Linked DNA regions of Schizosaccharomyces pombe. The protein of the gene in region 2 interacts with the protein of the main gene of each other region in a pairwise test. Each region holds a gene or a part of one and is shown on either strand. Other genes may lie near its edges. The genes, in order: SPOM_SPAC26H5.09C and hem13.

Region 1 (3,931 bases), 3.2 Mb from region 2:
AAAAAAATAAAAAAAAAAAACAGTGTTTTGTTTTGTTGGTCTTTGTAAAATACGAAGAAATGAATTTTACTTTTTAAGAAACTTAATATTTTATTTATTTTGTTATTTTCCCTATGTGTCATATTGTGAATGATTTTTTTCTTAGTATAGAAGTTGACTTTTTTTAGTATATGTATTTAATATGTTGTATCTTTCTTCCTTCTATTCCTACCTGCCTATACAAAATCCCTATTTATTATACGCGCATATATACATACCATCCCAAATCTGTTGCTGATGAAAACATAATATATATTTATATTTATAGGTATACTAAGATATAGATAGACGTATGTATATAGCTTGCATATTTACATGCGCAGATAGAAATTATATACTTACTTGTGTGGTTAATTACCAGTTCTATCTGTTTGCATCGGTTCGTCATCAGATATAGTATGTCGAAGGTTACAGTACCAAACATAAAACAACAAAAACAATGCTTACTGAAAAGTCATAGAAAACGTAAAAACATAAACTGTCTGGAAGGAAGAAAAAAAGAAGAATTTGGAAAGACGCGCAGGTTCAAAACCATGAGACCTACTCGGACAATGGGATGGAAGTAGAGGATTGGGAACTCTTGTAAGCAGCCTCAATGATCTTCTCTACCAACAAAACTTGATGAGGCTTCACCGAAGTTTCAAAGGTCTTCGTGACCAAGGCTTCATGCACCTCCAAATAGAATCGACGATAATCACCGGCAATGGTCATTAAAGTGCTCTTCGTAGGTTTTGGGGGGTGTCTGACATCGATGTCGGGAGGTAGGGTCCAAAGGGTTGCATAATGATGGGAGGAATCGACACCATAACCTGGATCCATGGGAGACATTCCTTCGTTCAATTGGGACTCTTGGGGATCAATGCCAAACTTCAAAAAGCTACCGCGCGTACCCTTGATAATATAACGCATGTCCAAACCACAAGAAATGCTGGAGGAGCACACAATAACGTCAAGAGGAAGTCTTCCTTCTTGGGGCAGATAGTGGAGAACGATGCGGAAGCAATCCTCCACCTCCAAAGGTGGGATCTGACGTTGTGATTCGAGCTTTGCCGTTACGGAATGGGGAGTGCCAAACAAGGTGATGGCCTGATCGATCAAATGAGAGCCCAAGTCATACACCAAACCACAGCCGGGATTAGGAACATCCTTCCAATTACCTTTACGGAAAAGGCGAAAGCGATCGATATGCGACTCGAATTGCACAACTTCGCCCAAACGACCATTTTCGATGCATTCCTTTGCCGTCAAGAAATCACCATCGAAACGACGATTTTGATACACGGTCAACATGAGGTTTTTGGACTTGGCGAGATCGAACAGCTCCTTGGCCTCGCCGTAGGTGGGAGTGAAAGGTTTTTCACACAACACATGCTTACCGGCATTGAGCGCTTGAGAAACGACCTCGTAGTGGACGTTGGGAGGGAGTGAAATGACGACTAATTCGATGTTGGAGTCAGCCAAGAGCTCGTCGAGTTTGGTGTACACCTTTACGTTTGGAAAGGCAGCGCGGGCTTTCGATTCGGTGCTGGTAGCACGGCGCTCCCAAGCAGCATAAACCTCGAAATGGTTGGGTAGCGCCTTTAAGAAGGGATAGTGGAAGATAAAGGCAGACATGCCAGTACCGAGAACGGCAGTTTTAATAGGCGCCATTGAGAGTAGTAGGGAGGGGAATCAAAAGTAATGTTTCTACAAGAGGAATGTTAGTAAAGATGCGACAAGACAGCCACAGGGAAGGGCAAGGGCAAGGGCAAGGTAGAAGAGGAACCAAAGGTGGATAGAAAGAGCGCGCGCACAATATTAAGGCATCACAAGCGCTCCATGCGATGTCAAGTAACGCATTGCAACTCAACTCAATCATGATGTGTATTTCCTGAACCATCTCTATTCCGCAATCGCAATCGCACCCGCGCTTGCACTTGCACTTGTACTCGCCAGCTTACTACATACCTTGCTTGAAAAATGAATAAAATATAATGTAAATACAGTCGGCCCGCTTGTTAAGCTTGTTTCCTATGGACCACAATGGATTCTAATGTCAACCTAGCTAGTTGGTTCTTTGCAAATTCGATGCGACCCGCGCCCGTTATCGATTAAATAGTCTACACCGCCATTCGCCCACGTAAGCAATCAACACACAACCTTTTTCCATCTCGTTGTTTCAACCTCGTACAACGTGTGTTAAAGCGGGGCCCATCGGGTACCACGAAGAAAGGTGCAACTTGAGCTAAGATGCAGCTATGTAATGAATGACGTTTATTAGTATAAGCAGGATGAGTTTACCATGCAGATAGGGGGAACGTTTCAGCACGTAAAAGGGAACTAAAGGACACTATGCTTTAGTATGTTGTGTTGTGCTATGTACTACTATGTGATATTAGGTTGTGTATGCTATACTGTGCTATGCTAGTAGCCGATGGAGAGAGAGAGAGAGTATGTGCTTGTATGTCAAGGGAAATTGTAAACAAATTTAACTTGCTGGGACTAAATGATAATATGAATGTTGATATTACTTGGAAATCCTTCTTCAATCTCATTACGCTTGGATAAATTTGTTGAACCACGTTTGGATGAATGTTTTAAATTAAAAAGTTTTCTAGCGTTTGAATCCATGCCATCTCTTTCCCTCATCTCTCTCCGGCTTGACTTTTGCTCGCTTTTGTCTGCTTCCCAATCACTTGTTTCTAGAACCGGCCACTTCCATTATGTGCCTGCCGTTCTTATTGCTTTTGCCTCTATAAGAAAATACTATGGGTTTGTTTGGTTTGGTCTGGCTTCCATTTCCGCGCGATCGCTGTCAGACTAGATGCACTAAAATCCCTTGCACATTAATTAAGAAGAACTTTGTGGGGATAGGGAGAAAGCGCATCGCTTTATTTTTATTTATTTTTATTATTTTTCTTTCTTCAAGCTTTTCTTTATTTTTATTTATAATCAATTCATTTTTTCATTTGATTTCCTACCTACTTAAGTTTTTTTTTTTTTTTTTAAATATTTTCCTCTCTTACTCTGCACACTCTTATTGTTTCTTTTTTTCCTCGCCTTTCCACCGCCATCCCAATTTTTTTTTTTTTTACCTTTTGATTACATTCTTTGTTCCCATTTCGGCCTAAGATATGTTGATAAGGTTATCTCGTATTTTTAGTATGGTTCCATGTCTCACACCGTCATTTCCATCGGTTTAGATTGGTAAGAAGGACTAGAGCTTGTCGCATTTTTTATTTATTTTATTTTGTCTTCTCTTTCAAATTTTTTAAGTAATGATCATTGTTATCAAGTTCTATTGCCTTTCATTATTGTTATTATTCTTATGATTATTATGATTCTTACACTTTTTTCGCACCATCTTCCTTCTTACGATCCATCCATGCAATCCATTATACTCTCCTGTTGACTTGACCTTTTTTATTCTACTTCTTCTCTCTTAGTGTTTCTAACGGATTCAATGTACGATCCCTTGCGTATTCCGGTATTTCTTTTATTAAGCACTGTTTTGAAAAATTGGTTATTGTAAGCTACGCAGTTTGGTATCTGATTTAAGGATACGTAGAACTGCGGTGAGTTTTCCTTGTGATCTATTATATTACAATACACAGGTTGTATAAGTAGCAACTGAGTATAGGTATTGTATTAACTGGGTTATAATGTTACCTATCACTAATATAGCTCATAACTGAACTGAGGAACGAGATTCAGTTGTAACGCTATTTATAATATTTCTAAATAGTTGTTATCAACGGGTATCTATGTATATAGACGGATAGTTACCCGTGATTATCAATAAACGGATCTTAGCTAGTATTCCAACATATGGCATATAGTGATACGCAGCGTAGTGTATCATAGCGTAGTGTAATATTGCTGACAGTTATTTCAATTTAATTCCCTACGTTGC
Region 2 (3,831 bases):
AGTACGACTGAATCTTCCTCTGAAAGAGCATAATGGAAGAAAAAGTACAAGAATTTTTGAAGGATTCAACCAAAGAACAGAAGGTCTTCTTTGAAAGTCTAAACAATCAAACTGAACGAGTTTGCCAACAAACGGAGTCAGGGGATATCTCCTGCATTGAATTGGCTGCAGCGGAGACAAAATTGTTTGCTACTATGCAATCTTTAGGGTACGTAAGATGGGAGATTGTTAGATTATTATCCTATATACACTTACTGTGAGTTTGATATTAACCAACAGGTTCATTTGCACTTTATCAGCAGATCCCAATCGGCCCACTGTATTTGAGTGTAAAAGGGAATTAGATACAAATGAAAGAAAAGAGCGACTGTAAAATTTGTACCGATGCTAACGTTTTATGACTTGTCTATCTCAATCCGTTGGGGATCGACGTCGTTTTATCATAAAGACAAGACACACACATTTTACCTTCATCTTCTTTTTTTTTATTCGTATTATTTTAAAGAAAAATACATTGAAATTAAGTTAATGAAAGTGCAGATCAGTTGAAATTTATATTGTGAAATTAGATCTCAAGCCAAATAGGTACTGTACTTTACTTTAAAACTCTTTATAAAACACTACTCAATAAAAGATACGGATTTTTAAAGGGTAAAATATTGTTTCATTAGCTTAGAAAAGGGATTCAAAATCGCAAATTCAAACAGTTAAGAATTCCAAATAATGAAGAGCAAAAAAGGCATGATAGAAAATTTAACATGAGTTAGTGTAACATGGCATAGTTTAAAAACAAACGAAAGAATAAAGCTATTACCAAAAATTGTGATGTTCATTAAATGCTGAAGTAAAAGTCATTTTTGTGAATCTTTCTAGCACCATTCAATAGGGGTATGCGTTACTTTAAGGAGAGCCTTGTGACGCTCTTGTTTAGGCTCATACTTGTAACGCCAGGAAGCATGTAATGGAAGGGTCATAAGAATAGATTCAACACGGGGTTCAGGAGCTTGAAGACCAAACCAAGTACCTCTGTCATACATAACGTTAAACTCGGCATAGTATCCACGACGAATGAGTTGGAATTCCTTATCATCTTCAGTGAATTCCATGTTCTTTCTCTTTTCCATAATAGGGACATAGGCAGGAAGGAAGGTATGGGCACAATCCTTGACGAAAGCAAATAACTCTTGAGGATCTTTCTCAGAAAGATCATCAAAGAAAATACCGCCAATGCCACGAGTCTCCTTTCTGTGCTTGATGAGGAAGTATTCATCAGCCCATTTCTTGAAGCGAGGATAGAAAGTGGGGTCATGGCGATCGCAAGCTTCTTTATGCAATTTGTGGAAATGCTTGCCATCTTCTTCAAAGAGAATGCTAGGAGTCAAATCGGCTCCACCACCAAACCACCAAATCTTCTTACCATCACTGTTTACAAGTTCAAAGTAACGATAGTTCAAGTGAGTAGTAGGGGCCATGGGGTTGCGAGGGTGAATAACCATACTGATACCAGCAGCAAAGAATGGAAGCTCTTTGGCAGTACGATCAATACCTTCATGATTAGCACGCATTCTTTGGACAGCGTCTTGATTCAATTTTCCTTGAACAATACTTGTGTTGACACCACCCTTTTCAAAAACGTTGCCATCTTGAATAACACAACTGATACCATAACCACCTTCTCCCTTGGTCCACTTGTCTTGGAAGAATTTTTGTCCATCGACAGCTTCGAGACCAGCAACAATTTCTTGCTGAACATCGAGAATAAGCTTCTCCATCTGCTTGCCAATAGGCTCAACGGTAATGTCAGACATCTTTTTATTTACTTTACGGATTTGCTCAAAATGTCCAAAAAAAAAAGTAACCAAAATGGTATTTAAGATATGATACAACCGATTGGATGAATTGGTATTAACACAAGTGAAGAATCAAAACACTGTTCAACTTGCGAATTAAATTTACAACTTGGTTGTTTTGTTTTCACAAAAACACTGTGCCAGCAGCGAATGGGATTAGGGGGATTTATATCAAAAAATAGACTAAATTCAGATATTTAAAAATCGAACGATTTCTGGACAGTCACGACCGTAATGGCTCGTTTTTCTCGTAAGGTTAAGAACACAATCCGGATTCCACGATCTGAGTGTTTCGTTACTGCACCTTGTAGTGCGATATATAGATTCCTTCGATGGAAAACAATTATTAGTTTTATATGAATTTGATTAGGATGATGTTAAACATCCTTTTCTTTGACTTATTATTAGACTATCTGAAAAATGGAGTTACTTCTCGTCTATGAGAAATGTTTGTAAGTTGCTTCGCTACTAGCAAGCAATAATGTTTTTAACTGCTTGGTTTACAGAAAAGCACAAGAGTATAAGACAGATGCCATGCTTACTTTTTCAACTTGTTCGATTTACCATTTCTTAAGTACAAACATTAATAAGATCATCAACCTATATTTTTTATGAACTTTACATGAATAATTACATGATTAAATCACTGAAATTATATGAAACTATAGACAGAATTGATGCTAAAAATAATTTAGGAAAAATATGAATAGCGCGATCGCATAGGGGTAAAAACATGATTATGTTTCATACTTGGATTTACTAATGAAGAACGGTTTCTCATACCTATGAATTGAAGAGTTAATTTGTTCAACTTTACCATTGTTGATTTCAATAACTTTTTAGATGTAAAAAAATAAACTAAAATAAAACAAAGACGTTTCTTTTGTTATAAACTAATAGATTTACTTTTTAACCTATAGTTTAATCGTTTTTTTTTTTTTTTTTTTTTGTAATTTATCTAAACTCGTATATGAAAATAGTATGTATTTTAGAAATTATACGAAGAATCTAATAAAAAAAGATTCCTTAAAATGTATTTCATATATACTTGAACGAATATGTAGATTCCATAAACAGAATTAAATTGTAAATGGGCATAAATTTCAGAGAAAGCAATTGTTTATAATAATTTAAACGTTCAAAGAAAAATATATATATTTTCGTGGAGGAAAATAAAATTCTAAGACGAATGAATTTGCTAATACGAGTGACGATTAAACATACTATTTATTGCTTCACCTACTAACCTTCGTTGTAATTTATCTACTTTTTAAAAAACATTAACTCGTAGTTGCATGCTAATTAGATTACCTAGATTTTTTTAAGGTGAGGTGCAGCTATGCATTTTGGCAATCACATATGGTTAAGTATTTTACTATGATTAATCTAGCAAAAATAAATATGACTGAAAGATACCAAAAAAAACTATTTTTTTTTTAGGTTTACACAAGCAAATAGTAGATGCTTTATTTTTCACCTTATTAAAAATTGATTTCTCGTAAAGTACTGAAACCAAAGTACGTAAATTGATCAAGTTGGTGTTTACACTTATACCTCTAGCTCAACCTCCGTCTCTTTCAACAATATACCGCTAACCCAGATTCCTTGATTTTGTCATTGAAATAAGTTAAATTCTTTTTTTTGCTTTCTATACAAAACAAAATTTCATTGTATCTCTGAAAGCATCATCATAATCATATTCCTGAAGTCCTTTTGAATTGCTGTTCATAACTTATTACTTCTCGAAGCTGGGTTTGAAAGCGTAAATATTTACAGTGGTTACTTCTTTGCAAAATTAGTGACCATCCTTTTTCTCTCTCACTTTCTTTTTCTTTGAAAATCAAATTTAGGGTTTTCAGTTTTGGGTGAATACGGTTAGTAATCATTCTATGCGTTTTGCATCCAATTTCTTTTCTTAGCAAAGCCGTTTTAGTATACGTTTATTTTGATTGAATGACTGAAGTTGAATGCTGGGACGATG

Evidence for each region.
Region 1: the proteins of hem13 (region 2) and SPOM_SPAC26H5.09C interact in a two-hybrid assay, tested with the Schizosaccharomyces pombe proteins (2 studies listed by BioGRID).

Annotation. Positions count from the first base shown.
Region 1 is NC_003424.3:4,136,994-4,140,924, forward strand, and holds SPOM_SPAC26H5.09C (gfo/idh/mocA family oxidoreductase), read right to left. Parts: upstream 2,099-3,931; 5' UTR 1,987-2,098; exon of another isoform or gene 1,726-1,986; 5' UTR 1,690-1,725; coding exon 580-1,689; 3' UTR 273-579; downstream 1-272.
Region 2 is NC_003424.3:964,407-968,237, reverse strand, and holds hem13 (coproporphyrinogen III oxidase), read right to left. Parts: upstream 2,103-3,831; 5' UTR 1,809-2,102; coding exon 870-1,808; 3' UTR 647-869; downstream 1-646. Other genes in the region: SPOM_SPAC222.17 (uncharacterized protein), read left to right, coding at 33-208, 280-373; two-component GAP Byr4, read left to right, coding at 3,804-3,831.